Diceros bicornis minor: one gene and its partners. The protein of the gene in region 4 binds, or shares a complex with, the protein of the main gene of each other region. Links are inferred from orthologs where the notes say so. Each region holds a gene or a part of one and is shown on either strand. Other genes may lie near its edges. The genes, in order: INTS9, INTS4, BRAT1 and INTS11.

The links.
Region 1: the proteins of INTS11 (region 4) and INTS9 are in contact, whole or in part, in a cryo-EM structure (PDB 8RC4), measured with the Homo sapiens proteins. The link is inferred for Diceros bicornis minor from reciprocal best matches to the Homo sapiens genes INTS11 and INTS9. Residues at the interface, in NP_060341.2 of Homo sapiens: His94, Gln97, Ala98, His137, Leu138, His139, Gln140, Thr141, Lys274, His277, Tyr278, Lys280, Leu281, Phe282, Ile283, Pro284, Trp285, Arg291, Phe294, Ser449, Pro450, Ser451, Ile452, Pro453, Val454, Gly455, Ile456, Ser457, Leu458, Leu461; in NP_060720.2 of Homo sapiens: Glu127, Gly198, Tyr199, Ser200, Gln201, Lys202, Tyr231, Glu338, Phe339, Ile342, Phe343, Glu345, Gln352, Lys354, Val355, Tyr356, Leu357, Pro358, Glu359, Pro360, Pro361, Arg511, Arg512, Tyr513, Glu514, Lys515, Ile516, Glu517, Ile518, Met519.
Region 2: the proteins of INTS11 (region 4) and INTS4 are in contact, whole or in part, in a cryo-EM structure (PDB 7BFP), measured with the Homo sapiens proteins. The link is inferred for Diceros bicornis minor from reciprocal best matches to the Homo sapiens genes INTS11 and INTS4. Residues at the interface, in NP_060341.2 of Homo sapiens: Pro183, Trp191, Lys194, Asp212, Gln288, Gln400, Gln404, Lys462, Met465, Ala466, Leu469; in NP_291025.3 of Homo sapiens: Leu159, Asp161, Thr162, Arg167, Tyr203, Gln207, Asp244, Ser292, Gly294, Trp296, Arg299, Lys323, Met326, Ser327, Asp328.
Region 3: the proteins of INTS11 (region 4) and BRAT1 are in contact, whole or in part, in a cryo-EM structure (PDB 8UIB), measured with the Homo sapiens proteins. The link is inferred for Diceros bicornis minor from reciprocal best matches to the Homo sapiens genes INTS11 and BRAT1. Residues at the interface, in NP_060341.2 of Homo sapiens: Leu9, Val15, Gly16, Lys27, Met35, His36, Met37, Gly38, Phe39, Arg43, Asp47, Tyr50, Thr58, Asp59, Asp62, His70, Leu71, Asp72, His73, Asp87, Gly88, Gln97, Pro101, Ile102, Glu105, Arg108, Lys109, Val112, Asp113, Lys114; in NP_689956.2 of Homo sapiens: Asp25, Thr27, Cys28, Glu30, Lys31, Asp34, Pro117, Ser156, Ser157, Leu158, Phe159, Ser162, Lys358, Ser359, Cys366, Arg367, Arg424, Arg427, Thr465, Lys468, Lys469, Trp514, Glu515, Asp518, Ser519, Glu522, Tyr560, Ser564, Ser604, Glu605.

What each region holds. Positions count from the first base shown.
Region 1 is NC_080750.1:64,983,679-64,991,473, forward strand, and holds the start of INTS9 (integrator complex subunit 9), read left to right. Parts: upstream 1-4,795; 5' UTR 4,796-5,058; coding exon 5,059-5,067; intron 5,068-7,795. UniProt on the Homo sapiens protein: Component of the integrator complex, a multiprotein complex that terminates RNA polymerase II (Pol II) transcription in the promoter-proximal region of genes.
Region 2 is NC_080746.1:53,437,353-53,444,347, forward strand, and holds the start of INTS4 (integrator complex subunit 4), read left to right. Parts: upstream 1-3,985; 5' UTR 3,986-4,093; coding exon 4,094-4,147; intron 4,148-6,995. UniProt on the Homo sapiens protein: Component of the integrator complex, a multiprotein complex that terminates RNA polymerase II (Pol II) transcription in the promoter-proximal region of genes.
Region 3 is NC_080765.1:11,888,633-11,896,485, forward strand, and holds the start of BRAT1 (BRCA1-associated ATM activator 1), read right to left. Parts: upstream 3,017-7,853; 5' UTR 2,981-3,016; exon of another isoform or gene 2,965-2,980; intron 2,940-2,964; exon of another isoform or gene 2,627-2,939; 5' UTR 2,401-2,626; intron 2,304-2,400; 5' UTR 2,076-2,303; coding exon 1,949-2,075; intron 1-1,948. UniProt on the Homo sapiens protein: Component of a multiprotein complex required for the assembly of the RNA endonuclease module of the integrator complex.
Region 4 is NC_080752.1:22,289,209-22,296,605, forward strand, and holds the start of INTS11 (integrator complex subunit 11), read right to left. Parts: upstream 3,001-7,397; 5' UTR 2,922-3,000; coding exon 2,894-2,921; intron 54-2,893; coding exon 1-53. Other genes in the region: CPTP (ceramide-1-phosphate transfer protein), read left to right, coding at 5,343-5,464, 5,704-6,226.

The DNA of each region.
Region 1 (7,795 bases), on a different chromosome or scaffold from region 4:
TTCCTTCTCCTTTTGTTTGTAAATGTAAAAAAACAAAAAAAACGCTATCCTTACAGCCCAAGTCAAGGATTTGTAAAATGCTGCATTAGAATTATAATAACCATTGGAAAAACTTACTGTAACTTCAACCTTATTACCACTGTAAGCGTAAAACTATGCTAAAGCCAGGGCCTTCCAGTAACTAAATGCTCTTGGAAAGTGTCCAAGACAATGTTATGGTAAATATCCAACTTGTTTCATCTAAAATCAAGAAAAACAAGTTACCTGAAGCACTAGATTATGTTTAAGTAGACTCTAACTAAAAGTTTTACATCAAATAATCACTTGGAAAAATCTTTACTCTGTACTTATGATGGGCTCTAAGACCAGTAAGGGTCATCTGGGGAGATAGCCACACCTAGGAATCTAAGTCACATATTACTTAATACTACTTTGAGAAACATTTTAATCCCAATAGCTTCCATTTTGAAAGAAATAGATTTTGGCAGAATCTGTTAAAATAATGGTGTAAAATGTGCTGGTGGTTCTCTGGTTTCTAGCTTGAGCCACTGCTGAGAGTCTCCTGTTATTTGTGGTTCAGATTCCTTTTTTACAGGTTGCATGTCTGATAGATATTTACCAATTTCAGCTATAAACAAACATAAAGGCGCTTTATATATGTGAGTGCATACGTGAACGTACATACATGACACTCTAGACAAGCTGTGATTTCTACTTAAAACAACTTTTTTATAAATTGAAGTTCTACTAAATTGAGAAGTAAAAACCAACAGTTAAGAGAAAAACCTAGCCAAATAGCAAAGGGAGCTATAAAATTAACTCTGGAAGCCAAAAAACCTAAATAAAGCAGGTTCATAAAACAAACCCGACAGATTTTCACTCAGCACTTACAAGTTTATAAATGTTTACGTTTTTAAAAAGTTGAGTGGTACACCAACTTTAATTTATGAAAAATGACATCCTGTGATAAATTTCTAATTCCCAAGAGAAATAATTCAAGTTTAAAGATCTGAATACAAAAGTAATTGAAGGAAGAGCTGTAAAGAAATGAACAGAAAAAGTAAATGTGGTTTTACAGGAAACATGGAAGCTTTCTGAAACATTAAAAGTGGAATGGACTGAATATAACACACAAAAGACCCAAAATGAACAAATTAAGCATAAATATTCCTAATGTGTTCAACATCTACTGAAATAAGCAATTCCATTCCACTCCATACTTGCCACAAAAATTGCCATAAATTGGTTACTTCTATTTTTTTAAATGATGAAACAATGAGAGATTTGTTGCAATATATTTTATAACTTACCAATAGTGAGCTATTAAGTTTCTATTAGTGATGCTTCAACTAAGGATTTGCACTAAGATGACTGAAATCTGTTCGTACAGCAGTGAAATTGAAGCCTCACTAAAGACATTCAACATAAAGCTGACCCCTAAAGGCTCCTTGATGCACATTTGCAACCACAGTAGCCAGGATATGCAGTACACTAAACTAGCAACAGATTGGTTAAAAACTGTTTGGATTTTCAACTTCCCATAATACAGGCAGCATTTTTAGAAGCAACTGTATTAAAATAAATACGTCTTTCACAGTTACGGGATGAAATTTTAAGCTGGACAGGCACCAATGCCCTGATTTTCTACTTTTTTCGTAAACCATATGACTTCCACATGCTGAGAATGTTTTATGCTTTAACCTGCAGTAAAGGCTTTACATCATTTTAATGCTCAGTGCTTAACATGCAACAGAATCACCTTCAATGAATGCAAGGAATATATTTCGTTTACTTTAATGATTTCAACCAGACTAGTAGTCAGAAAAAGTTTAATGAAAGCTTTGCTCAGTAAGTAACTTTGCATTTCCATAGAAGAAAACAGACAAAAAATCTGAGGTAACGTTGAGTGGAACAGAAAATACTCTTATATTTTTCCAACTCAACAAAATTTTAGTTTTTTAATTTCTAAAATAAATATTGAACATTTTAAAACTCTATGTCTAACAGAATATCTTTCAGCAAAAAACAAAACAAAACACTGTTATATAGTTACATAGGATTTTTCTCCAGTTTTTGCAAAGTAATGTTTCAAGCTGACACAGAAGGTTAAAACAAACCTAGTCTATAACAAACTAAAGGCTCAGCTTTGTACCAACATATTCTATATTCTAAATTCGAGATTCAGACGACATCAATTTTTTTTTATTCAGGTCAATCTAAATATATACGCTACCTCATGCTTATAGTTAGCTTATCTGTGTGAATGAACCACAGAAATTTCAAATCAAAGGTTATAAAACATATCATAAAATTACACGCTGTATCTACATCACTTTCAGTTTTCATGAAACCTAAGGTCCTTTACTGATAGGTTCAAGAATTGATAAGTTTGGAGCAGAATATGTAAATACATTAAATTTTCAATAGTCAAACAAGAAATTATGCCAATTTCTCTAGTTATTTAAAAGTCCATTACACTAAAAACTGTCACAGAAGAAGGGTTACTGAAAAACGTTATTTCAGACTAAGGGAAGTACAAAACATGATCCTAAATTCTCCTGGTGTAATGTTATTAAATATTAAAGACTGTGAGAAACAAGAGATGTTGCAATCCTCTTCCCTTTATAACTCTAATTGAAACTTGAGAAAAAAAATCAGAATTCAGATTTTCCGAACTTGGTTTTATAAACATAATTCAACTAGATCTAACAACTTAGTTGTGTGATTTTAAAATAAGTTTAACGCAAAGCTCTGCAATCCTGATTCGTGATAATCACCTGAAACATAAATGCAAAATAAAAACAAATGCAAATCCTTTTCATCTGATGATGCATTTTATAGTAGAACCACAAAAAAGCACAACAATATTAGCAGAAACTAAACAAACATACACAAGAGGCATTATGTCCATCCAGGAAGAGAAATGTACCATGCCAAGAAAGAAAGGAAGGACTGAAGGAAGGAAGAAGGGAAGGAAGGAAGGAAGGGAGGGAGAGAAGGCAGAGGTTTCTATACTTGGAGGATCCCAGAAAAATAAACTAGCGACATCAATCTACCCTATAGGATACATAAGGTTTTTTACAGCTTCAGGGTAAATAAAAATAGCACTTTATGCCATTCAACTTTATATAGTATAGTATCTTTAATGCCAACTGCATTCTCCCCTACACTCACCCAGTGCTTCCTCACTCTTCCATACCAGCTTTCAGACAAATGCGAGACAGAACAGGGTGGGGTAGAAGAAAAATACAAGAAGCGCCTTTCAGCTACTCCCCCGCCCCAATAATTTCCAACCGTTTTTCCTACTACGAAAATAAGTCGCCCTATCTCAAGATACACAACAGTCATTCTGTCTCTAGTAGACACACAGAGACACACACACATGTCAGCACTCCCGACCCCTACCCCACGCCCCCGAATCTTAAGTAATGTTTAATATGTTTAACACGAGACGACGAGATACCTCTACCTACTATTTCGGGGTGAGGGTGGGTGGAGGACTCCTTTCAAAGTAGCCCCAATAGTGTAACCAAAACACGGTTCCGGAATAAAATATTAAGAACACTTTTCCTTTCCCACCTATCTACCGACTTAAGGATGCAAAAATCCATCTCCACACATCTCCTGCCCGGAGTTTGGGGCGGAGATCTGGCCGGGGAGGGGGCGGGGAGAAGTAGTGGGAGCGGGCAGCAGGACACAAACGAGTTGCTCACCCCAGCTACCCCGCACCACGTCGCCAGCCCGAAGGGCCAGCAGCCGGACCTCATGCACACTTCTCTGCCCAGGCCCAGTTAAAAGCTATGGCTCCAGCTATCTAACTTCCTATCTATAGACATTTATTCAAGACTAACATATCACACAAGTACACGTCACACAGTTTAGCACACAGTTATACACCCCAAACAAACCCACACACCTCAAATTCACCTCACAGTTTCCCAAACTCCAAACAGGAGACCCCCACCTCCAGGATTCAAACCTTGCGCCCATAGTGCAGGAAACCAGGAGAAAAGAGTTGGGGAGCAGCCGACGCCTTTCAATTACCGCCCCCCACAAACTACCCCACCCCATACCCTGCGTCCGTGTTACTCACTAGGAAGCCCCCCGCTTCCTCCCTTCTCTCAATCGGGCCGCTTAAGAGACCCATCCCCAGCCCACTTACTTTCCCCCCAAAACCTCTCCAAAAAAAAAAAAAAAGTGAAGAGAAAGAAGTGAGGAGAGAGACTTGAGGTAGTCCGGCTTCAAAACCGCTCGACTCACCTCAGAATCCTTGCTGAGTTCTCTCCGCCCGGCACAGCCCCCTCCCCAACGTCCCAGTACGAAGGGCTGAGGTAGGGAGGAGGGGAAAACGGGAGGGGGAGGGGTGTCTTCCGCGTGGGGCGCTCGTCGGGATGGGTCTGGGGAGGGGTTGAGGCCGGCGCAGGAAGAGGAGAAGGGGGAGGGGAGGCCCCTATCTCCCAGTCTACCCCTGAAAACCTCCCTTGTCTCAATCACATCAGACTGACTGTCTTTGTCTGGCTGACAACCGCCATATTGATAGCAACAGCCCCTCTCCCACCTGCTGCAGCCGGGCGGCCCTGGGAGTTGTAGTTCTGCCTCCCTTGAGTAAAAGGGCGAGACTTGGCGTCCAGAGGCCCCAGGGAACTACAGCTCCCGGCAAGTCCCGCGCCCATCCGCCTCCCCAAAGGGAGGAGGAGACAGGGGCGCCAGAGCCCTGGGAACTACACATCCCAGAATACCATGGGTCCCAGGCCCAGAAGAGGGACATGATATCACGCTAGGGTGGAGAGGGAAGATGAATTGGCGGCAGGGAAGAATTTGAGCTGACGGAAGGCGGTGTTCGGAGAGGAAAGAGAGGAAAAGGAAAGATGACCACAGGTCCCATGATGCTTGGAGAGATGACTACATTTCCCATGATGCCCCGGGAAGGGGGCGTAGGGAAGAAAGACTGCGTGTCCCGCGATGCTCTCGGTGGGCCGGTGGTAGAGATTGAACCGGAAGACGCTTTCTGGGTTTGAGGGAGTCGGGTGACTGGAGTTAAACAACCAAAAGTCCAATATGAAACTGGTGAGTTTTCGCATCTAGGTCACAGGGCAAAGGTGATGCCATATCCTTTTGGACTTCGTCGTTTCCACCTTGAGAAGGGTACCGTCGTGGAGGAGGGGTGGCAGTTAGGGAACTAGAAAGTGGGGTGGACTGAGGAAAGCTGCTGTTGGTTGTTGAGGCTTTTTGAATCCCACCTCACACTCCCCCGCACGCGATTGCCAGGAGATCTTATTCATCCCTTGGCGGGTCCCTTTGGTAGCTAAGAGGTTGACTATCACCTTTCTTCACCTAGGAACTAAGGTTGGACTTGAACTAAGTTTGACTTGTTTCTCAGCTGCCACGTGAGTGTTACAATAGGTTGTTAACTTCTGTCCACGCGATTGGCCCTTCATTATCGTTTCCCTCTACCGTTGTAGAGAAGGCTTAGGTTAAATGTGAGCAGAGTAGAAAATAATTTGGCAGAGCGTTATCACTTATTAAATTTTCTTCTTTAGACTCCTAACTGCCCTTGGAATTCAGAGGAGGTCAGGGTGTGATCTTGGAGAATTTGACCAACCCTGTATAAGATGGGCTGAGAGGAAGTGTTGAGGCATTCCAGTCTAGGGCTGTAGCGAGTGCATGAGCCAAGGTTAGATGGAGCATACCAGTATACCTAGAGAAGTCTTTTCATCTCAAAACTCAAACGCTTGACTTATAGGAAAGCTTCTCAGACCTTTATTTTGAGCCATTTTACTCTCGTGCACACAGATCTAACTAGTTTATTCCAACTCTATGGAATTAGTAATAGCATAATTAAGAGTAGAAAAGCAGGTGTGAAATGCTGGTTCTCAACCTTTTAAAAATCCATGTTCCTGTGGCCACGTATTGTCAAGCTTTACTTTCTGTACCTGTTTTTTTTTTTTTTGGTGGGGAAGATTGGCCCTGAGCTAACATCTGTGCCAATCTTCCTCTATTGTTTATATGTGGGATGCTGCCGCAGCATGGCTTGAGGAGCGGTGTGTAGGTCTGTCCAGGATCCAAACCCCCAAACCCTGGGCTGCTGAAATAGAGTGCGAGAACTTAACCACTATGCCCTGGGGCTGGCCCCATACTTTCTGTAATTTTTATACAAAAACAAAAGGTTTATTTTCTTAATTATTTGAACATGCTTTTCCAGAGCACACATAAATGCTACAGGCATATACTCTGCAAAGTGTCAGCTGTTTTCTGAGGAATCAGAGAATGTATTAAAAGTAGATTCAACTACAAAACTGTCTCCATTTAAAGACGTTTGTGTAAGGGAAAGGGTACAGATCAGTAAACCTTGAGAGTATCAGTTTGATTCTGGGTGGTTGTGTGAAACATTTAAGAATGCAGAATTGAAAGTCAACGCCCTTGCCCTAAAGAAGCATGCAGTCTACTGCAGAAGATAGAAAAGTAAGCCAGAATTATAATTCACTGTATTCATGGTAAATGAAAGGCATGTTCAGGATTTGGGGAATTGATGATGACTGGGGGGGTGGGGGGAGTCAGAGACAACTTCCTGGAAGGGTAACTGTTGAACTGATAAGAAGGATGAGTAGGCTAGGGCTGTTCATGAAGACAGTTCAGCTTATAAAAGCAAAAGAGCTTGGCTCCTAAATGGTTGGAACACAGACCATATGTCCTCAATAAAGGACATGGAAGGGAAAAAAGTAGAAACTTTTTTTTCCTTTAAGAACCAAAAGATACCTCAGAGAAAGAGAAAGTGTTCTATCTATACTCCCTCCCTCTTTACTTTCAAGCCACGTATTACATACTAAAACTCATTTGGTAGTTGATAGATGATCTATAATGTGGAATTTGTATCAACATAGCAAAGTGGTTTCAAAAACATTGACGCTCACTAAGTTAGACTTCTGTGTGTCGTGCCTCCCATAGAGTTGGAATAAATCCTCCCAGGGCCTAAAATTTTTAACTTTGTGTACTGCTTCAGGAATATGTACTAAGCCATATTTTACATTTATAATCGTGAAATGCAGAAATACATTTTTTTGAGCACTTTCTTGTTTTTGAGATTATGACTTCCAAAATACCCTTCCCATGTACAATCTATGACTACATCTTGTTGATTCTACTTCTGTTCTTGAATAGATCTGTTTCTCTCCTGTCCCACTAATACTGCCTTTGTATGGGCTCTTTTCACATGACACTTGGAATTCAACAAGATCGTCTAACTGGTCTCTCTGCATTCAGTGTTAACCCTCTCCAATCTATTCTCTACTCTGCATCTCAGAAGTTGTTTTAAATTGCAGAGTTTCATAAAACCCTCAGTAGCTTCCTTTGCCCTTAGGATAAAGTCTTACAATTCTTAACTTGGCTTACTTGGTTCTGTAGAATATGACCCTGCCTACCTCTCCAGGCTTGTGTCTAGCCCTCATCTTGCTTGGTCTCCTTGTTTCAATTATATTGCACGTCTTCCAGTACCTTGAACTCACCCTACTCTCGTTTGCCTCTAGGATTTTAAATATGTTCCATTGCCTACAACACTTTTTTGCCTGCCTAATTTCTTCATATATTTCAGATCTCTCTTTAAATAGCACTTCTTCGAAGTCTCCTTGAATTAGGTACCCCTGTTATATACTTCCATGGCACACTTCCGTTTTGTTACACTTGTGATTATTGGTTTTATGTCCGTCCTCCCTCATGTAAACTCTGTGTATTCCCAGGGCCTGACATATAGTGTGATGCCACTAAATAGTAGTTGAATAAATAATTTCTGAAGGATTAT
Region 2 (6,995 bases), on a different chromosome or scaffold from region 4:
ATCTATGGAAGTATGGCAAGTCAACTTAGTAGCTGAGGGACTGTCTGACTACATGACAACCCCCTGATCCCCAAACTTAATGCCTTAAGACTACAAACATTAATTATTTCTCATAAGCTTACAGATTGGGCAGTTCTTCTGGTCTTAGCTGGGCTTACTCATGCATCTGTAGTCAGATGGTGGATCAGCTGGGGTGGGGCTGGTCTAAGATGTCCTCAGCTGGGTCAACTTGGCTTTGTTCCATGTGGTCACTCACTCTTCAGCAGACTAGGTTGGACTTATTCTCATGGCAATGATAGGGTCCCAAAATCAAGCAAAAGGCCTGGGGAATTGGTATGTGGATGGACCTTGAGGCCTAGGCTCAAAACTAGCACACCATCACTTCTGCTACATTCTACTGGCCAGGCACAAGGCCAGCCCAATCCAAAGGGTGGTGATACAGATTACATCTCTTAATATAAGCAACTTCAAAGCTACATTTCAAGGGGTATACATACAGAGAGGGGGAGAATTGGGGCCATTTTTGCAATCATTCTGCTACACACTGGATCTTTTCCATCAGTGAGGGTGTGGTGATTTATCCTCACAGGAATAGATACATATTCCAGACTCAGATTTGACTTTCCTACTGCCTTAGACTGAATATTTGTGGGCCCCCTCAATTCATATGTTGAAAACCTAACCCTCAATGTGATGGTATTAGGAGGTGGGGCCTTTGGGAGGTGATTAGGTCATGAGGGTGGAGCCCTCATGTATGGGATTAGTGTCCTTATAACAGAGATCCCAGAGAGCTCTCTTGCTTCTTCTGCCATGTGAGGACACAGTGAGAAGCTGTCTATGAACCAGGAGGTGAGCTCTCACCAGACACTGAATCTGCCTGCGCCTTGATCTTGGACTTCCCAGCCTCCAGAACTGTGAGAAATAAATTTCTGTTGTTTATAAGTCACTCAGTCTCTGGTATTCTATTATAGTACCCTAATATCTATATATGACCTATTTGTTCTATTTTCCTGGAGAACCCTGACTAATACACCTAACCATAATGTTTATGCCAGCAATACCATTCATGGATACCTTATTCATTTTTATGGTATTTCATACATTGTTTCTGACTAAAGAGCTTATTTTATGGTACAAGAATTACAGCAAAGAAGCTTGTTGGTCTTGCTAGGTACGCCATCACTTAGATATAGCTGTTATGATAAAAATAGTGTAGTGATTTTTTTTTTGAGGAAGATTGGCCCTAAGCAACATCTATGCCAATCTTCCTCTACTGCATATGTGGGACACCACCACAGTGTGGCTTGATGAGCGGTGTGTAGGTCTGTGCCCTGGATCCAAACCCGTGAACCCCGGGCTGCCAAAGTGGAGCATGCAAAATTAACCACTATGCCACTGCCTGCCCCCAAAACAGTGTAGTGACCTTTTGGAGACAGTTATGGTACTGGCTGAGAGACAACACATTGTGACTATGGGGTGCTGTCTTACATGTTTGTGATATATGCCTTATACCAACAGCTAAAATATAGTACTGTTTCTCCCACAGTTAGAATACATGGATCTGGGAACTAAGGAGTGGAGTTAGGAGTGGTTCTTGTCACTTTTACACCTAAGAACTCATTTATGAATTCTTAGGGTCAGTGGGTTTGGAGTACTTAGTCCCCAAGGGAGGAACAGTTCCACTAAAAAACACAGTTATTGTTCCATTACGTTGGAACATGTAACGAGCCTGCCCCTGGTCATTTGGGGCTCTTGCTGAGCCAACAGGCAGAGAAGGACTTACGATACCAGTCTGAGTGACTGACCCCAATTTCCAAGGGGAAGTTGGGTTGCTGTTATACAATAGGGACAGGGAAGACCCTATTTGAAGCCTAAGGGATTCACTGGGGTACCTCCTTGTATTCTCATGTGCAGTAATGAAGGTCAAAGGAAAATGTCATCAATTCAATCAAGACAGTTTTTCATTTCAGAATTAAATAACGGAATACTCTTGTTTCTGTACCAGTCTGGCCTCAGCTTCTCAATTTTATTTCCATTGCTCCTCCCTGTTGCCTGTATGCACTTTACTCTCAATAGGAACTGAATTTCCTTTGGTTTTCTTTTTTTTTCCCCTGGTGAGGAAGATCAGCCCTGTGCTAACATCCGATGCCAATCCTCCTCTTTTTTATTGGCCTTGGGCTAACATCTGTGCCCATCTTCTTCTATTTTATATGGGATGCCACCACAGCATGGCTTGACTAGCAGCGCGTCAGTGCACACCAGCGATCTGACCCTGCGAACCCCCCGCCACTGCAGCGAAGTGCGTGTACTTAACCTCTGTGCCACCAGGCCAGCTCCTCCTTTGGTTTTCTGAGTGCACCAGACTCCTTCCTGCAGCCATGTATCTAATAGTAATGATGATAATACTTTGAACAACTGGAGTGAGAGAGCTTAGGTGCATGTTTAACATCTCTGAAATCAGGATACATCTTAAGATTGCTTTTGGCCAATAGTTCATGTGTAGACTGGGTCATGGCAGTGCATGTTGTTATCACTTCAACTGAGCTCTGTGCATGTATGGTCTTTAATTGCCATTTGATGTATCTTCAAAGAGATTACCCTATAATTTGCATTGAAATGAAAAGTTTTTATGTGCACAAAAAGGCATGGAAACACACCACTATGACATAGGACACAAATCTATGTCTAAATAAGTTTAAAAGAGCTCTTTTGGTAAGTATACATAACAAATATAAGTAGTAAGAAACCATTGTTTTTAATTCCAGCATTTAAAAAATGTATTACATAAAATTATGGTTTGTTTTACAATTGCTGGCAGCTTAGATTTGATAGAATATGGTAATAACAACAATAATAGCTGCTAACATTTGCTGATGGCTAAGTTACTGTTTACTAAGTGCTTTTCATTTCACTGGAACATTTGTATATGCCGTAGACTCTGTGATTTGGGATTCTTTTCTTTCTGGAAAATTCACTATTTTGAAGCCAGATTAAAAATCGTTTCCTCTGTAAAACTTTCCTGAGGCATCCTGAAGAAGTTAGGTCTGTTTGAACCGCATTCCTCTGTTATCCAGCACACTTTGGTTGCTCTCTCATTATCAGTTTGGGTGTCTCTCTTCCCAGTTAGACTGTAGGACCTTGAGGGTAATGACATCTTTTATTCGTTTTTGGGTCTTCTGTACGTACCACAGCCTGCCGCTTTTTTAAAGCATCCCGCATTAACTCTTTTGAAAGAAAAAAACAATGAACAGCTCAAGTTTAAAGAAGGATGTAAAACTTGACCTTGGATTTATTAACACTAACCCGTGAACCACACTTTACAGTCTGCGAAATGTTTCTGCATTATTTTATTCTATTGTCACTACATCTTTGTCGGGTTAGCTGTTATCAGCGCATTTGTAGTTGAGGCTGCTTGTTCATTAAATGCCAGTCGTAGTCTGAAGCTTTGCTGCTTGACTCATGGCCTCAGGATTCTTTCCACTCTACCATGGCTATCAGAGGAGGGGTTGATTGCTTAAGGAATGGGTAGCTTTTGAACAACTGGAGCGAGCGAGCAGAGAAAAGCACCCCAGACCAGGAGAGGGATGGCGCATGGCTTGCTCAATAGGAGAGCTCAGGGAAGCTACAAGCAGCAAACGCTGTGAACAGCAAAGGATGACGGAAACGCCGGCTCGGCCTCTTTCTGTTATCTCGAGAGACAAGATCCTCACGCAGCTCCAAAATTTGCCTTTACTGCGTATTTCCTCCCTCCCCTCGCTCTGTTCCGTGCCGGTCTCTCAACCACTCTGAGGCCACCAGCAAGCTCCCGGAAGCTCTCATTGGCTCATCTGCCCTGTCAGTCCCGTCTCCCGACAGAGGCCCCGCCCCCTCCGCGCTACGCTCTAGTTTTCGTGCCCCCGGTGTGCGAGGCGTAGGCGGCCAAATCCTGCCGTACTGCCAAGGTAGTCGAGCAGCAGGAAGCGGCCTCTCTTTCCCGGAGCCCCGCTGCCTTGTGGGACCGTGGCGGGCTCCTTCGGCTTGGGCGGGATTTCCGGATTCCTCCGCCCCGCCTCCCTTGTCGAGTACGGAAGCTGAGAGGGTCCGCGGGGCAGCCATGGCGGCGCACCTGAAGAAGCGGGTGTACGAAGAATTCACTAAGGTAGTTCAGGTAAGCTCCAAAAGGAAAAGTCCTGAATCGGTCCGGGGTAGGGGAAGGTTATCCACGCTACAGGCATTTTGCCAGAACAGACGCCACAAATCTGGGTTGAGTGCAGCCTATTTTGATAGGCTCTCTGAGACTACATTTTAGTGGGCGTGTCCGTTTGCCGCTACTGTTGTCATTATTATTAATATGTGCAGTCTGACACTTTTTTTTAAACTTTATTTATTTATTCCCCCCCCCCAAAGCCCCAGTAGATTGTTGTATGTCATAGTTGCAGATCCTTCTAGGTGCTTTATGTGATACTCGGCCTCAGCATGGCTGGAGAAGCGGTGCGTCGCTGCACGCCTGGGATCCGAACCCGGGCTGCCAGCAGCGGAGCGCGCGTACTCAACCGCTAAGCCGCGGGGCTGGCCCTGACACTTTTTTTTTTTAAACTTAGAAGAAACAAATAGCACTTTACAATTTAGAAAAATATCCGTTATCTCATTTTATTCAGATTACATTAGCATCCTCATTTTACAGATGTGGATTTTGAGGCTTCTGGAGGGGTACGAGGACACAGAGCCAGTTAGTGGCAGAGCCCCTCCTAACTCCCGTTACAGAAAAAGGGCTCAGGGACAAGTTGGCTGTATGTAAGGCTCTAAGGGATTGGAAGAGGAGTCTATAGAAATCCTCAAGACTCAGTCAAAGCAGTCGAGGATCACAGGCTTCATAGGGGTAGAACTCTCCATTGGTGGAACAGCTCACCGAGGAAGGAGGGTAATACCTTCCTCCTTTAGAGTTGTTTAAGGACTGGTGGGAGGAGCCCCTGTCAGAGCAGTGATTCTCCATGTGTCTCCTCAAAGATGTTGCTAAAGTAGAGGTTGCTCCCAAGACATCCCTTCTGTCGAGCTTCTCAGACTGTATGTGTATACACATCACCTGGGGATCTTGTTAAAATGTAGATTCTACTCAGTAAATCTGGCAGGGGAGATGAGTCAATAATCTATTTCTGACCAGCCCCCAATTGATGCCAGTGGATCAGCAGCTTCCTTAGATCCATAGACCACCCGTAGGTCCTTAGCCTTGTAGAATAGCAAAACTTAGGTCATCCAGCAGGAAACTGGTCCTTAAACATTTCATTCATTCCTTCAAGGAGAGTTTATTAAGTAAATGAGTGGTTACTGTGTATCAGGTATGGTGAAAGGTGTTGAGCTACAAAGTCCAATATGCATTAGGGTCCCTGCCCCTTAGGAGCTCACAGGCTAGTGGGGGAGACAGAACAGCATATCTGTCATTATAGTACAGAGACATAATTGCATTGACAGGTCAAGTCTTCCTCTCTTGCAGTTCCTTTTCTTAAAAACACCCTAGACAAACTCCCTAGCCCTTTGTGATTTGACAGTATTCCTTCCAGCTGTATGACTTTCTTTTTTGTTTTGTAGACACATCTTTGTAGCATATTCCCATTGTCTGTAGGGAAGTTAGTCTGCTCCTTATTCTTGTTTTTTCTTGAATTAACTTTGATTGAGATTTAACCATGATACTTTTTTGTTGCTCCTTTTTATGTGAAATTAGTTTTCCTGAGCTTTTAGAATGAGCCAAGATTGAGGAAACCTTTTCTAACTTCACAGAGTTCTCCCTTCTGTGGTTTGCTTTCTGAGATTTCCTGGCTGTTTCCCTTGCCCACTTTTTTTTTTTTTTTTAATTTGTGGTAAAATATGCATAACATAAAATTTACCATTTTAATCATTTTGAAATGTACAGTTCAGGGGCATTAAATACATTCACATTGTTGTGTAGCGTCACTTCCTTTCTTCCCAACGGTCTGTGGTTCCCACTTCCTAAGACTACTCACCCCTCCTCCAGCATGCCACGTGTTTGCACCTCTCCAAACTTTTGTATCTTTTGTCTCTTTTACATAGAATGGATGTCATTCTTCCCTTTCTTTTTGTTCTCCACCCAGTGGACTTATATTTTTGCTTCAAGATCCAACTGAAATCTTGGTGGGAGTTCAGTGTCTTCCTCCCCTGCTTCTGTAGCACTCTGTGGTACTCATCTATTTGTACTTATCCCTCAGTGCTACTATAATTACCAGTGTATGTATCTCACCACGGGTCTGAGCTCCTTGAGGGCAGAGATAATGCCTGGTTCATCTCTGTGTCCCCTGGATAGACCATAGGGCCTGGCTCACTAAAATGTTATTGATGATTCAATGATGGCAGGTATCCGTTTGTCCTCCTCCTTACACTCTCTAGGGAAAAAAAATCTTCCCTAGCTTTTGAGCTACTTGCAGCCCAGATAACACTGAAGACTGAATTTGTGTGGAATAGGATGGAAATGGGTAAGGATTTTAAGAGAAGAGCTCATTTCTTCACTTCATTCTGCATGAATGGTTACCATAGAGTGATGAAATGAGTTCTTAGTGCTTCTTTTCTCTTTCCTGTGCTATGAAGATGAGGGAGAGAGAACTGATATGTATCTAGTGCTTATTATGTCTTGTACAGTAAAGACATTATACTTTTCCAATATCCCTGTGATATAGGTATTGTATTCCCTTTTATAAAAGCCTCCCCTAGCTAGTAAGTGGTTATTGAACCCCAGTTCCTCTGACTTCAAAGCCCTTAGTCTTTTTTATCATGCCATACTATTTATTCCTGTCTAGAATAATCCTAATTTCTTCTCTGTAGAAGTATAAATTTGTAAAGAGGTGGTTGTTCAGGATATCAAAATGGTGCATCAAGTGTTAAGGAAAATTATTGATTACATTTATCTTATGTTATGATTTTTATACCCCATCAGGGCCTGACTGAAGCCCTGGAGTGACAGGTACCCTTTTACATGAACTTTTTGGCACCCATTATGTGTAACGAAT
Region 3 (7,853 bases), on a different chromosome or scaffold from region 4:
AACAGCTCACAAATGAAAGAGATTAAATGGTCTGTTAAAAGAAAGCGATGCTCAAATTAAATTAAGAACCAAAGGCAGGCAACAGTCTGTTTATAAGACGCGATGACGTATGACAACACAGAAAGGCCGAGAGTAACGGGCTGAGAGGGTAGTGGGCAAATTCTCATTTTAGAAAAGCTGCGGCAGCAAGAGTGATATCAGACAAAACCGACTTGACAGCCAAGAGCGTTAGCAGTGCTTTAGGGAGAAAGTCACTGTTCAAAGAGAAAATCCCAGAAGACATGAGTCTAAGCCTGCACACACCTAACCCAAACTCAAAGTATATGAAGAAAAAAAAATACAGAATTTCAAAGAAAAATTGTTGCCTCCACAATCGTAGTGTAAGATTTTCACACATCTCTCAGAAACAATTAAGCAAACTAATGAGCAAGAACACAGCAGGCTTGAACAACATAAACTTGAACTAAGGAACTAGTGTAGAGACCACGTTCCTTCCATCACGTAGAACACCGAGGAAAACTGAGTACACGCTGGGGGAGGAGGGAACAGAGATTAACTGCTAATGGGCACCAGGCTTCTTTCGAGGGGATGAAAATGCTGCAAAATTACATTGTGGCGATGGTTGCACAACCCTTCGAATTTACTAAAAACCATTGAATTATACACTTTAAGTGGGTCAGTTCCATGGTATGTTAATTATATCGCAAACAAAGCTGTTCAAAAATAATTGTTAAAATTTGACTACGAACTAGGCCACCCTTGAGGAGCCTACAAACACCAAAAAACAATACCATATAGCAAAATCTACAGAACATTTGCAAAATTTGTCTGTGTACTATGCCGCAATAAAAGCCTCAAGATATAAAAGAATCAAAATACAGACGTTTTCTAATTCCAACGAAATAAATTAAAAACCAATAATAAAAAGACTGAAAAAAACTCCATACTGTAAATCTAAAAGATAACCTTTTAAATAATTTGTGGGTGAAAAAAAAATCATAATGAAAAGCATGAAATATCTGAACTAAGTTACAATAAAAATACTGCACAGTAAAACTTGCAGGGTGTAGCTAAAGCAACACTTTCAAAGAAATGTATAGCTGTCAATGCATATTTTAGAAAAAAGAGAAAGACTGAAATATTCAACTCAAAAGCAAATAAGAGAATAGGGTAAACCAAAGTAAACAACAAACAGCAGAAATTAACAACATGGCATCTATCCTAAGGCAATTATCAGCCAAGAAAACAAACATTTACATGAGAAGACTTATGTACAAGGAAAGCCATTATGGCGTCATTTATAATAACAGAACATTAGGAACATATGTAAACACCCCACAATAGTGGAGTGACTGTATAAATTATGGTCCATTCATACAGCAAGTGACATACAGTCAATAAAATCAACGTGTTCCATGGGGAAAACACCCACTAGAATGGTAAGAGAGCAAAAGCAAGACACCAAAGTGTATTTATGGTGTGACCTCATTTTCATGAGAAAAATACAGCTTTATGATATGTTAGGGAAAAAGGTCAGAAGGAAATAAAAATGTTGATGGTGGTTTAATTTTCCTCTTTACTCCTCTGTGTTGTTCAAGTTTTATTTAAAGACTATGTATTACTTTCATAATCAGAAGGAAAAGCTGATTTCTTAAACAAAAAAAAGCAACGAGAACAACAAAATAAGTTTGTCCGTGCCTTTTGCAGCCATCTAGCATGAACTGACCAACGGGAGGCCTGAATCAGGCTGGAATCAGCTAAGAACTTCAACCTCAAACTCTCCTGGTCATTCCCTCAGGCTTCAGTGTGATGTGTCACCAATTAGCCAGGCTGAACCTTTCCGATGTGAAGGAAGGACACCAGATGGACGCCCCTTCCCTAGGACAGAGAGCCCCGTGTACCCTCTGGCCTCTGGGGAAACAGTCAACAGGAGCACCCTCACCCTTACCTGCTTCACTTATCGTCTTAAACCAGTCCAGCAGCTTCTCCAAACAGGTGTCATCTGCCACGGGCTGCCTAGGGTCCGCCAGAACAGTACAGAGAGCTGGGAGAAGCCGGGAGCACTCCGGGTCCATGATGAGGCCGGAGATCCCTACAAAAGAAACGTCAGGGCCAGACTCCACCCGCCCTAGTCACAGGCAGCCCCCACGCTTGCTCAGGCCCCAGAACTTCCACCTCGGGCCAGGCAGCTGGAAGATCACAATCCTCAGAGGGAAACTCCAAGCTGCCAGGATGGATGCAAAGCCTCAGCTAAGTTGGGGTTGGAGGCAGTCAAGAGCAAGCAGGGCCAAGTCCTGGCCACCCTGGTTGGAAACAAGTCTGGTGTAAACCATCAGGCCTCAGGAACTTAAAGTCTGCCAACCTTGAACTCTGGTGGGAGGGGAACAGCATGATGCTCACCTAGGCTGCGGGGCCAGAGTCAGGGGTGTGTGCACGTTCTGGGGCCAGACACGCGCACAGAGGAAGAGCGTCTCAGTCCAGGGTGGAAGTGTCTGTCTGTTCTGTCCCTCCTGGGGTCAGTGTGTCTGCATCTGACAACTCTGCAGCTAGCAGTGTGCGCGGAGGGGAAGGCGCTCTGTCCACCATCGGTCCCTCCCGGGCCGGGGTGTGCACCAGCGTGTCCAGCCTGGGAGGGGACAGGGAAGTCCGTCGGTCCGGTGGTCAGGGAGGGTTCTCGCGGGGGGGCGGTGACTCTGTCTGTCGGGGTCAGGAGTGGGTGTGCCTGGCCTAGGGCATCCGTCTGTCCATCCTGGGCGAGGCTAGGTCTCTGCGGAAGGAGCCCTCCCTGTGAACCCCGCCGCGGATCGGGGCCGCCCGGAGGGTCCAGACGGGGCGCGGGCCGGCGGCCGCAGTCGGGCCAGGACCCAGCCCATGCGAGCCGGCCCCGGGATGCTTCCCGACCCCGCCCGTCCTAGGTCCCAAGCCCCGACTGCACGGGGTCAGCCACAGCGACCGCGACCCTACCCAGCACGCTCCTCACCCACTCCGCGCCCGTCCGTCGCCGAGGCCCCGCCCCCGCCGCCGCCGAGGCCCCGCCCCGACCGCGCCACCTCCGGGTCCGGAGGGGGAGAGGACGGGGATGGCTTGGGGAAAGGTGAAAGCTCCCCTAGCGGCCACTCTGAGAGCCCAGAGTGCCAAGACTTGGGGAACGAGCTCAAACTGAGAGGCATTGGGGACAGGCCGGGGCCAAATCGGTCGCCCCAAGCCATCACCCCCACTGGGTCGCTCAGTGGTACGTGCCCAAGCGTCCGGCGCACATTGCGCCCGGAAGGCGGGGCTTCCGGAGGACGGGGTGGGGCTATTCCCGGAAGGGGCGTCGCCCCGCCGCCAGGGATCACATGTCAGGGCGGGTGGGAAGCGCGTGCTGCAACGAGGCGTCTTCATCGCTTGTGCTAAACTCCTGTCCTTTGGCCTAAAAACTGGGTTCTCGGGGGCTTTCGGCTGTGTGCTGGAGGTTCTCAAAACCAGTGGATAAAAACAAGGCTCCTCTTCCTATACCGTCAGTTTTTCAGCAAGATTGGGGGAAACACCACATATATATGAGGACGTGGAAAGGAGGATTCCTATGGGTGTTAAAATAAAAAGGAAACTTTAAAAATATAGACTTTGATGGGGGAACTACTTGGGACAACCAGCCTCCCTTATACACACACACACACAGACACACAAACACACACCCCTTAGAACTATTTGGGTGAAAAGGTTTGAACTGCACAGTTGTCTTCCCTGAATTGTGATTCCTCCTTGTGAAAATGGGGATACTAATATTTGCCTGATTGGGCAGTTGTGGGGGAAAACATCTTACAGTAGCATTGTGCTAAGTGCTTCACTTAATATAAACTCAGGTGATTCTGCAGCAGCTCTATGAAGGTGGGTTCTGTTACCATCCTTTCAGATGAGGAAATTGAGGTGCAGAGAGGCAGACTCCTAAGGTCTCACAGCTAGTGGGCTGGCACAGCTTGGAACGGAACCCAGGCAGTCTGGCTCCACAGTTGAATATTTTATTATACAGGTCCACAATTTCTTACCTGAAACTTTTGGGGATGAGTGGTTCAGAATTGTTCAGATTTTAGAAAAGTTACACGGTACATACATGCTCTATATGGGATTACAATTCTAGCAGGGGCTGATGCACGCCACATTCAAATGCATTAACAGTTCTGCAGTGAAATATACTCTCCAAGTGGAATGTATAATATAAACACTGTAAATAACTTTAGCTCAGATTTTTGTCAACCGATGAGTTGAGGTCAGAACAGGTTTTGCCAGTGAGTTTTGAAAGGTTTTCAGAATTCAGAACAGCAGATAGATACAAGGTTGTGGACATGTAATGTCTCTACAGTTAAATGAAAGCAAGTGAAACAACAGAAGCAGGAAGGGCAGAGAGTTTTCGGGGCACCAGGAGCGGGAGAGGAGCAGGAGGTACCAGTGCTTAGGTAGTTGTGGTATTGAAAGCCCTCATCTGCGGTGTGGACAATACCCCGAGGAAGCAAATGGAAGTTGTTAAGCAGACGAGTGGCCTGGTAAGATTTGCCTTTTATAAACCACCCTGGTGGCCAGACTGTAAAAGCTGGGCTCCTGACCACTAACCAGCTCAGTTTTCCCTGCTCGTAGGGAGACAGCCTGGGAGACCACCCCTGGGCACCTCAGCCCATTTTGTACTGATGAGGAACCTGATGGAAAGAGGGCCATGGACCCCGTACTAGGTGTTGGAGGTGGAACTAGAACACTAATAACCTGCTAGGCATTCCTTCTACTACACCAGGCTACATGGATGAGAGGACTCATTCATTCAGTCACCATGTAGTAATAATAACACTGTCACATTACACTCACTCTGGAAGGGGCGACTGTACTAAGCACTTTACAGATATTGACTCACTTGATCCTCACAATAACCCGTTTCTCCACTTTATATCTGAGGAAACAGGCACAGAGAAGTTGCATGACTCGCTAGATACCCAACAGCTATTGACTGAGCACCTGCTGTGTGCCAGGGACAGAGGTACAGCCGTGGACAAAACAAAGCCCCCGCCCCAGGGAGCTTACATTCTAGACATGGAATGTTCTCATAGATAATAAATGTCAGGTGGCTGGAAAAATGAAGCAGGGTTAGGGGACAGAGTAGATGCCCTTGGAGACCTGTATGAGGAGAAAGAGCAATAATTTAAATGAACTTTGAAGCCCAGGGCGCCTGAAGATCTTCATGACATGCACTGAGTGCCGGGCACTCATTATTTTTTGCTGTCCCGTTGTTAGATCCGAGCCCTAAAACCTAGGATAGAGATCAGGGAGGATAATTTTCTGAATGCCAGGCGTCCAGTACTAGCAGCCTGTGACACTGTACAAGCCCCTTGTCCCTTTCAACGTTAACCTAATAAATACTTATTAACGTCCTGCTCTGGTGACTAGCTCACAGGCTCGTCGTGGAGTGTGTACGAGAGAAGGGCCTGGACGCCCTCTGTAAACGGTTGAGCGCGGCCCACTCCGCGGCTGCTGCGCTGTTTCAGCTCCTCCCGCACCTCCGGGCGCGCTGCCGGTCGGCCCGCGGGTGTCGCAGCACAGGCGCAAGGTCGGCCCGGCTCACCGGGCGTCCGCCACATCCGGGGCTCGGGGTGGGGGGTGGGGGCCGGCGCGGTTGCTATGGCAGCGGGGTCGCGGCCGGCGCGCGGGCATTCCCGGAGGCGGCGGGCGGCCGGGAGGCCTGCGGAGCCCCGGAGCTCGACAGCCTCGCCCGCGGCGCCGAGGGGCGGCCGGGCAGCGCCACCGCCATGTCGCTGGGCGCCGGGGAGTCGGCATCGGAGACGGTAAGCGCGGGCGGGCGGGCCTCGTCGCTCCCTCCGGCTCGCCGGGTCTGCGGGCCGGAGGAAGGGGCGCAGGGCCGGCGGCCGCCGGGTGACAGCTGCCAATATTGTTACCGCATAAGAGCGGACCTCGGGCCCCCGCCAGCGTGCGGCCGGCCGGGCGTCGCCGCCCCTCGGCCAGCCTCCAGCTGCCTCTAGGTCTCGCCCGCCGTTGCACAGGCCGCCGCTTCCAGGAAGCCCTCCCGGACGCTGCGCCCTCGCCTCGGCGCCTGAGAGGCCGGGCCTGCGACCGTGGCCCGCGGGGTGACGGAGCTTACTGCGTAAGTGCCCGCCCACCCCGTGCCTCCAGGGCCGGGGACGACCCCGAGTCGAGGCCGGGGGCAACGGACGGGGCGACCGGCCCGAGCCATCCCAAGAGTGAGGGAGGAAGCCCCAGGCTCCGGGAACAGGGCTGTGCCCGGCAGTGATCAGAGAAAGTTTCCCGGAGGAGGTGCCCCAAGTAACCCTAAGGTTACTGTAACCCTCCGGTCAGGCCGAGCGGGCTCTCAGCTCGTTCCTTTACCAAGTGCTTTGGGTGCACTGTCTACTGGAGATACCAATGTGGATGCATAAGCCGCGTTCCCGTGGAGCGAGGGGAGAACAAGGCGATAAGCAGATCATTAAGATGTCAGAAAAGTGCTATGGAGAAAATAAAACAGGCCCATGTGAGGGAGGTGGGCTGGGGAGGGCTGCCTTACATTGGGTGCCAGGAACAGCAGCTCTGAGGAGCTCACACGTGCCTTGATCTCTTTTACAAGAAGCAGGCAGTCTGGTAAAAATTGGAGAGCAGAGAGACCAGCAAGTGCAAAGGCCCTGAGGTGAGAAACTGCAGTGTGTTCCAGGGCCCCAGAGAGAGCTTGCTGGGATCTCATTAGGGGCAGGGGGCGTGGATGGAACATGGGCATGGGCCTGACCATGGAGAGCCTTGCAGGCCATGCAAGGAGTTTGAATTTATTCAGGGCACAGTAGGAAGCCGTTGGAGGGTTGCAGACTGAGGGGACTTTGCTTCCTTCTCACTGAGGGCGCAGTGCTGAGCAGGGCTTGCACAGTTCACCCAGAGTAGGGGCTCGTGCTGCTGTTCTCTAGGAGCAGATGAAGTTTCCTGCTTGTTCCTCAAGGCCCGGAGTGTTGCTCACCTGGGAGGCCTGCCATCTCCACGGGCCTCAGTTACTGCTCCTTCATCTTTAAAAAGTGACTTCTTATGTTGTGATTGTAAAAATAATCCATCCCCATTAAAGAAAATTTGGAAACTTAATTATCCATAATCTAACTGCCTACAGAAAACCACAGTTAATGTTTAATGTATTTCCTTCCAATCTTTTTTTCAATGCATCTTTTTTCCATACACTTTAAAAGGTTGAGATCATATTTATATTGTTTAGTTTTAGTAACCTTTGCCATTTAATTTGTTGTTAGCATTTTCCCATATCCACACATTTTCAAGAACATGATTTTAAAAACTAACCTGGGGGTACCCCTATTTCACTGACCCATTTCCCCGCATTTACCCCTTTGTTTCACTTTTTTGCTGTTAGAAACAATGCTGCTGTAAACGTTCTTACACACATAAGCATTTGTTAAGCCCCTTACACATGTCAGGCTCTGAGGACACAGAAAGAAGCTAGCCCCAGTGCCTTGGCCTTCAGTCTCGTGAGAGAACTGGGGCAAAGCTCTCCCGGCATATAGGAGACTCAGCCCTGGCCCAGGCTCCCTGGTGCTTTCTCTGCTGCGCTGGGATCTCTTCTAAACCAGACAGGAGTCTCTTGAGGGTAGGCACTGTGCAGTCCCCCCCGTTGCTTGGAATGGTGCTGCCTCTGGACTTGCCTGTGAACTTCCCAGAGCACTTGCCATGTGCCGGGGGCTCCCTGTGCCGCGGCTGTACACAGGCTGCAGGCCCCGCTGACAGAGCCACAGGGGTGAAATGGAGCCTGGGCGGGTCGCCAGTGATTGAAGAGCCAGCACTTGTAACAGGGCTCACAGTTTCTAGAACAAGGTAAGAAGAGCATTTGT
Region 4 (7,397 bases):
CTTGCCCGCAATGGAGACCAGGATGCAGCTTCGGCCCACATCCTGGCCGGCCCCTGCACAGGAGAGTGAGTTAAGAGGCGCTGCCTGCCCTTCTCCCTTCCCCCCGGCCCCTCCCCTGCTCCTGCAAGCAATGGCCCCAGCCCCAAGGCCAAGGCCCAGCCACCCGCCCCAGACCCCACGGGGCGCCCTGGGTCCCTGGCCCAGTAGAGCCCTCAGGAGACTGGGGAAATGGCCCCAGGGATGCAGTGTGGACGACGTGTGAGCCAAGAAGCATCACCACCTCCACATGCGGGCAGGCAAGGGACAAAGCGTCAAGGCCACCAAGCGAGCTCTAGTCCACATGCGCCTCTGCCACTACTGCCCAGGGTCAGGTAGAAGAAGCCCCTGACCTCTCAAGGTCACCGCCTTGACACTGAGTCGTGGGTGCTAGACTGTGGTCTCAGCACCAACAGAGGCAAGCCGGGGCTCTGTGGAAACTCACCATCCCTCCTGAAACCTCGGCTGGGGTCACATCTGGGCTGTGATGCCCCCTCTCCCAGGACCTGCCCCCAAGAGGGGTCAGGCGCCTCCTGGTGGTGCCACTGCAGAGGGACACCTGTGTGGCTTTAGCCCTCAGCCCAGGGGAAACATGGCCCCAGCTGTCCAGCGATGGCCAACTATGGTGGCCACAATGCAGACACCTCACCCCAGGGCACATGGGCGACACGAGCTCACCACCGTGCCCCTCACGGCGGCCCCCCAGCCCAGACCGTGACTTAAGTCCCATCCACATTCCTGACCTCCAAGCCCTGCCCAGATGCTCCAGGCAGTGAAACCTCCCCCTGGCAGGGCACATCCTGGCCACCTCATATGGCCATCGGTCACCTCCTCTGGAGTCTGGGGACCCAGAAGGAAAGGGACACGGTCTTGCAAGCCCTGATGACACCAAATCACCTGGTCTCCATCTTGAACCCTACCAGCCTCCCTCTGCCGGCCACCTGAACCTTCAGGTAGCACCACACACACCAGGGTGACCAGGCCACGGCCCAGAGTGGGACATGGGCTGGTCCTCGAGAAGCTTCAGTCACCTGTGAAAACAGCAGATGACACCAGCCAAGAGCTTCGCCTGCCTGCCTCAAGCAGCCCAGCCACAGGTGGCAGCCTCCAGGTCTCTGACAGGCCTGCTGCTGTGCCCACTAGGACGTGCCTCCCTGAGGGCAGGATCTCAGCTGTCTGCCACCTGCTGCACCTCCAGCCCAGGAGTCATGCCTGGCTCAGAGACCCTCCAAACATTTGTGAGAGGGGAAGGGCCACTCCTCTTTACAGATGACGTGGAGCCACAGAAGACACAGGATTGACCCACGGGCACATGGCTCCTAAGCATGGGGCCAGAGACCGCGTTCTAGATTTCAGAGCCCAGCTCTTAGGCGCTGGCTGCCTGGTCCCAACAGCACCCACAACAATCCCAGGGAGCAGAGAGAGTGGCTGAACTGGGCAAAAGACGTGGGGGACAGAGTCGAGGGCACACAAGAGGGGGACAGGACTCAGGAGAAGACAAGGGAGACACTCTGTCTGCGGGGAGCTGACGATCCAGGGCAAGGAGACAAACGACAACCACGTAGGTAGGACACACGCTGAGGGCGTCAGGTGGAGATCAGCACCATGGAGAAAAGTAACGCAGGAAAGGGGACACAGAAACTTCCAAAACCACGACAGGCAACTCCTCCCTGAGAAGACAACTTGCGAGCAGAGTGGAGAGAGACAGCCAAGATGGGAGGAGCAGCTGTGCAAAGGCCCCGGGAGTGACCCGGCAAGACTCTCCAAATCTGGCCCAGGTGACCAGGGAGCCCTCAAGGCAGAAACTGGTGAAGGGAGAGAGTGGAGCAGAAGTGTTTCTGCTTTGATGGCGCTGTGGCTGAGCGACCTTTGGGGTGCACCTAAATGCAGATTTGGGGTAAGAGAACAGTAAGACAATAGGACTGTTTAAGGACAGTGAGTGGCGAGAAGAGGGGCCACATGGGAAAGGGGCTGGTAGGAGGGTCCCACAGAAGCCCCTGGAGAGAAGCCAGGGGCAGGAGAGGGCACGGGGCGGTGGTGACCCCGTACCAACAGCTAGGAGAGGCCATGGGGGTGATGATGCGTATAGCAGCATGGAACGTGCAATCTGACGCAGCAGGCCAGGGGCAGGGGCATTCATCACGGTTGTCAACAGCTCAATATCCACACGAAGGGCAGGGTGGGCTATTCCAGGGAAGACCTCACACCCTGAGAAAGCACGTGGAACCGTGTGGGACATCTGTACAGGAAGATGCTGGCAACACAGGGCCCAGTGAAGGAAGCAGGCTCCCAACCAGTGCATGCCATGCATGCACCAACAACGCCCAGAGACGCCGGGAGGGCTGGCGACCTACACGATCACCCTAGTTGTTACTAGGACCCTGGATTCTGAGTGGTCTTTCCTCCTTTGTACTGTCTTGTACTGCTCGGGCTTTTAAAAGTGCGCATCTATACCTTTTACAAAAAGCAAAACAATTTTTTTAACGTGGCAAAAATCAAGTAAAACAAGGACTGAACCGAGGGTGGGTCTCCAGACTGCGCACGTGGGAGGCTGCAGGTGACCGGGCGGGGACGGACAGAGCGGGTGGCAGGAGAGCGAGCGGTGAGGGCAGAGGCGCCAAGGGGCCTGGCGCGCCAGCCGCGCGCGAAGTAAGCCGAGCGCGGGCGCGGCGAGGACGGAGACCCTGTGCCTCCACGGCACGCCGTCCAGGGGCCAGGCCCGGGGAGGGCTGCTCGGGCGATCCCGTCCTCCCTTCACGGCCGGGAAGCGGGCCGGCCCGGCCCGACCCCGAGCCCACCCGGCGCGCTCCCCGGCCCCTCCACCGGCCGGCCCCCGCCCGCCCCGCGCCCCACTCACCCAGGGGTGTGACCCTGATGTCGGGCATCCTGCCGTCCGCGCCCCCGGCCCCTCGCCTCTGCGTTCCCAGTCAACCCCACGAACCCAGCCGCCGAGCGCGACCCGCGACGACGCACTGCTCAGGCGCAGCCCCGAGGCGCTGGCTTCCGGTGTGCCCGCCGGAAACACGGGCCCGCGCTCCGGGCCTCCTGATTGGGCGGCCGGCAACCAATCCCGGGAGGCGGCGCGGAGGCCGGGGGCGGGGCGCTGGGTTCCCTGGCGGCGGCGGCGGCGGACGTGAGCGGCGGCGGCGGCGGCGGCGGACGTGAGCGGCGGCGGCGGCGGCGGCGGACGTGAGCGGCGGCGGCGGCGGCGGCGGACGTGGGCGGCGGCGCACGTGAGCGGCGGCGGCGGCGGGGGAACCGAGCTCAACCGAACCGGCTGGGCGGGCCTGGGCATGTCCGAGGAGCTAGGCGCGGGACCCCGGGGCGGGAGGGGGCGGCCGAGGACCTGGCTCCCGCGCTGACCCGGACCCCGGGCCCCTGCCCGGTCCCCGGGCCTCCAGCTGGAGCAGGACCCGCTCAGGACCGGGGACCTGCCCGGTGCCGCTTGGAGCCCCCTTCCCGGAAGAGACTTGAAGGACTTCCTGGGCAGGGCTCCGTTCCCACCCCCTAATTCTGGGGTGCCGGGGTGGGTGTCCCCTTCTCTTGGGGGTGTCCAGTCTGCTGGCAGCACAGGGTTCGGATGCTCAGGCCACCCTCGCGCCGAGCCCTGACCTTGGGGCCGTGAATTAGCCCCTGGGAGAGGCTCGGCGGTGCCCTGCATCCTCACCTTCCCAGAGCTGGCCAGCTGCCAGTGCCCAGCCGCATGGTCACTGCCCTTCCTGTTGTTTCCAAGCTCTGAAAGGCCCCTGGCAGCCCCTGTTGGCTGCTGGCTCTGCGCAGGAACTCCAAGCCCACAGGATGTCTGGCGGCTAGGAAGGTAGCCCTGAGGGCCTCAGAGACCATCTGCTTGGTGGACGCAGAACCGAGGCCCAGAGCAAGGGGAGGGGTGTGCCAGAAGTGTCCATAGCACCATCTTCCTGAGGCCGGGCACAGCCGACTCACGTACCTGAAGACAGGGTGAGCTTGCTCTGGGGTCTCCGCCTGATGCCAGACATGCAGCCCAGCCTGTGGGGCCTGCAGGGCCTCAGCACCTGCCAGGCCCCACCAGACACTCCCAGCAGCCTGAGCGGTGGGCAGGACAGGGTGTGCTGGCCCATTTTCCCCAGAGATGAAGGACCAGGTGTCAGGATGGCGAGTGACCTACCCGCAGAGCAGAAGGCAGAAGCTGCCCAGGTACCAGGTGTCCTGCTCTTGGCTGGGGCTCTCGTCACAGCTTGGGCGGCCTCCCTCCCTTGCCAGGTGTCCCACAGGGCTCCAGGCACCAAGGGCACAGGAGCACCCGGGCCCAGTGGGGTGAGAGCTCATCCTGGACGCCAGGTCCCCTGGGCCCGTCGCGTGCTGGCCCTGGGAGCTCAGGGAGGCAGGGGCTGGGGTGCCCAATGGCACCCACTGAACACAGCGCTTGGATGTTTGTGGAGTGAGTGTATGAATGTGAGCAGAATTCAGAGCAGGACTCTAGCCTGTGGCACTTCCGGAAGGTTCTCTGGGGCTAAGGGAGGACCTTGTGGATGTTTTCAGAGTGTGGAAAGATCTTTGGTCCATCCGCCCTTCTGTGTGGGACATGTACGGTTTCAGTAAGAGTGAAAAGACTGGTGTCTGTCCATCCATCCAGCAAATGCTGACCTTGCAGCCTCTGCTCTGGCTTTCAGGATGCAGCAGTGAGCAAGGAATGGTGTGGCCCGCCCCACCACCCTCCCCGGCCCTCCCACCTCACTCCACTGTCTTTTTTTCCATTGTGTTTACCTTCTGTTACCTACCCTGCTGGAATTTCCTGTCTTTGTTATTGTCTCACACCCACCACACTAGAATGTCACCCTGACAAGACAGGGCTGTTTGTCTCACTCATGGTGCACCTGAGTACCTGGAAGAGGGCCTGGCTCTAGGCAGGGACCAAGCAAATATGTTCCAGCTAGTAAAAACAGACACACTCTAGTGAGAGAGACAAACGATAAACAAATAAGCAAGAAACCGTGAGTTGGGATGCTACAAGCAAGATGCAACAGAGTGGTGTGGCAAAGCCTGCCTGACAAGGAGAGGCCTTGCTAAGCTGTCTAGGCACGTGTTCCGGGCAAAGGGTCTGTGGAGTCAGGTTGGTGTGTCTGAGACCGTGTGGCCCAAGGAAGATGAGCTCCTGGGGAGGAGGGGCTGACCTGGGGATGGGGCTTCCTGTGGGGAGCAAGAGGATCCCAGCTGGTTCTTTCCACCGGACCTGCTTCCACCCTCAAGATAACAATCTGAGGAGTGAGATGACTCAGTGAGAAAGCCCCTCATCCTGGCTCCCCTTGTGTTTCAGTTCGTATTGAAAAATGGACGACTTGGAGTCGGACTTCAATCTGAAAGTTGTCTTGGTGAGTTTCAAGCAGTGTCTCGACGAGAAGGAAGAGGTGCTGCTGGACCACTACCTCGCAGGCTGGAGGGGGCTGGTCAGGTGCGTGCAAGGGGCCACTGCCCTGCAGGGCCAGCCCAAAGGCGGGGCTTTCCTGGCCACACTTCCCATGTGCGAGACCTGCAGTCTGCACGGCACGTGGATGCACCAGGCTCCTGCCTGCCCAGGGCCGGTCAGCTGTTCTCACTTGCTGCCTCTGCCTCCAGGTGGACATGTGCCCCAGGAGGCAGGAGGTGGTCTTCCCTGCACCCCAGGCTAAGCTCCTGCTTCCCTTCTTGCAGGTTCCTGAACAGTCTGGGCACCATCTTCTCGTTTGTCTCCAAGGACGTGGTGACGAAGCTGCAGATCATGGAGCGCCTGTGCAGCAGCCCCCAGCGGGAGCACTACAGAAGCCTGCAGTCCATGGTGGCCTATGAGGTGGGCAACCAGCTGGTGGACCTGGAGCGGCGCTCGCACCACGCCGACTCAGGCTGCCGGACGGTGCTCCGGCTGCACCGCGCCCTGCGCTGGCTGCAGCTCTTCCTGGAAGGTCTGCGCACCAGCCCCGAGGACGCGCGCACTGCCACGCTCTGCACTGACTCCTACAATGCCTCGCTGGCTGCCTACCACCCCTGGATCATCCGCCGGGCTGTCACTGTGGCTTTCTGCACGCTTCCCACACGCAAGGTCTTCCTGGAGGCCATGAACGTGGGGTCCCCCGAGCAGGCTGTGGAGATGCTAGGGGAGGCCCTGCCCTTCATTGAGCATGTCTACAACATCTGCCAGAAGCTCTACGCCGAGCACGCTCTGCTGGACCTGCCCTAGGGCCGGCGGGCCCAGCAGGGCAGGCTTCCCCTCCTCCAGAGCTGGGCTGGGGCAACCAGGGCCCGTGAGTCCCACCACGGACCTTTCTGGGTGCCCCAAGAACGGGAAGACCACTGTCCGCACGAGCCAAGCCTGTTGGGAGCCACGGACCAAGTGTGGCCTGTTCTGGTCAGAGGAGGCAGGCGCTGGCCGTCTGCTCCACGCCCGTCCTCTTGCTCTGCCCAATGGCATCTTAGCTTTACCCTCTGCCAGGTGACATGAGTGTCTAACAGGCCTCACCTGGTGCGTGAAGTGCAGAGAGCAGGATCAGTGTGTGTGCAAAGGCCAGAGAAGCTGCCCCCACCTGTGAGTCAAGTCTGTGAGATGGGGTGAGGTCACAGGTCCCTGGAGTACACAGACTCTGTCCTGGTCGCCAGCCGACGACGCTGGTGCATGTCCTTCCCAGGCCCGGGATGTGGTGTCTGTGCCTAGGTGGGCTGCCTCAGGCCCCTCCACACCAGGCTGGCTGTCCCCAGGGCAGGGAGAGAATCCCTGGGCAGCAGTTGGCACTGCAGGCTCCCTCCCTACCCCTCACCTACTTGTTACTAGGGGCACATGTGTCCTCGGCAGTGACAGTGGGAGCTGAGGCCCTGAGTCAAGGCCTCCCTGCCTTTGTAGCCCTCTACACACGTCAGCTGTCCTCTGCAGCCACGCTGTGGCCCCGAGCTCCTCCAGGCATCTGCCTGTGAGTCTGCACCGCATAGGCCCGAAGCCCCCGGGAGCCCATGACTCCACTGGGCCAATGCCGACCTCTCCCCCTCCCAGCGTCCAGCTAGGTACTGTGTTCCCCTTCCTGCCCCCTCCCCACAGAGCTCAGGAGACCCAGGATGACATGGCACAGGGAGGGGGCCTGGACTCTTTTGCCTAGCTGAGAGGCTGGTGGACAGCCACACCCAGCCCGGCCATCACTCAGCATTCAGGGGCTGGCCTCTACCTTTGGCTCTTCACTCTGAGCCCAGGACCTTGGGTGCCACGGAGACAGTGCCCACCGGGCAGCAGTTGTGCTTGAGTGCAAGCTTTCAGGGACCCTTGGGACCTGTACCACTGGCGATGGCTTTTCCAGCGTAAATAAATCACAAGTACAGAGCCAGGGGCTGTGCTTCAGGACGCAGACTGGGTGTGCCGGGCATCT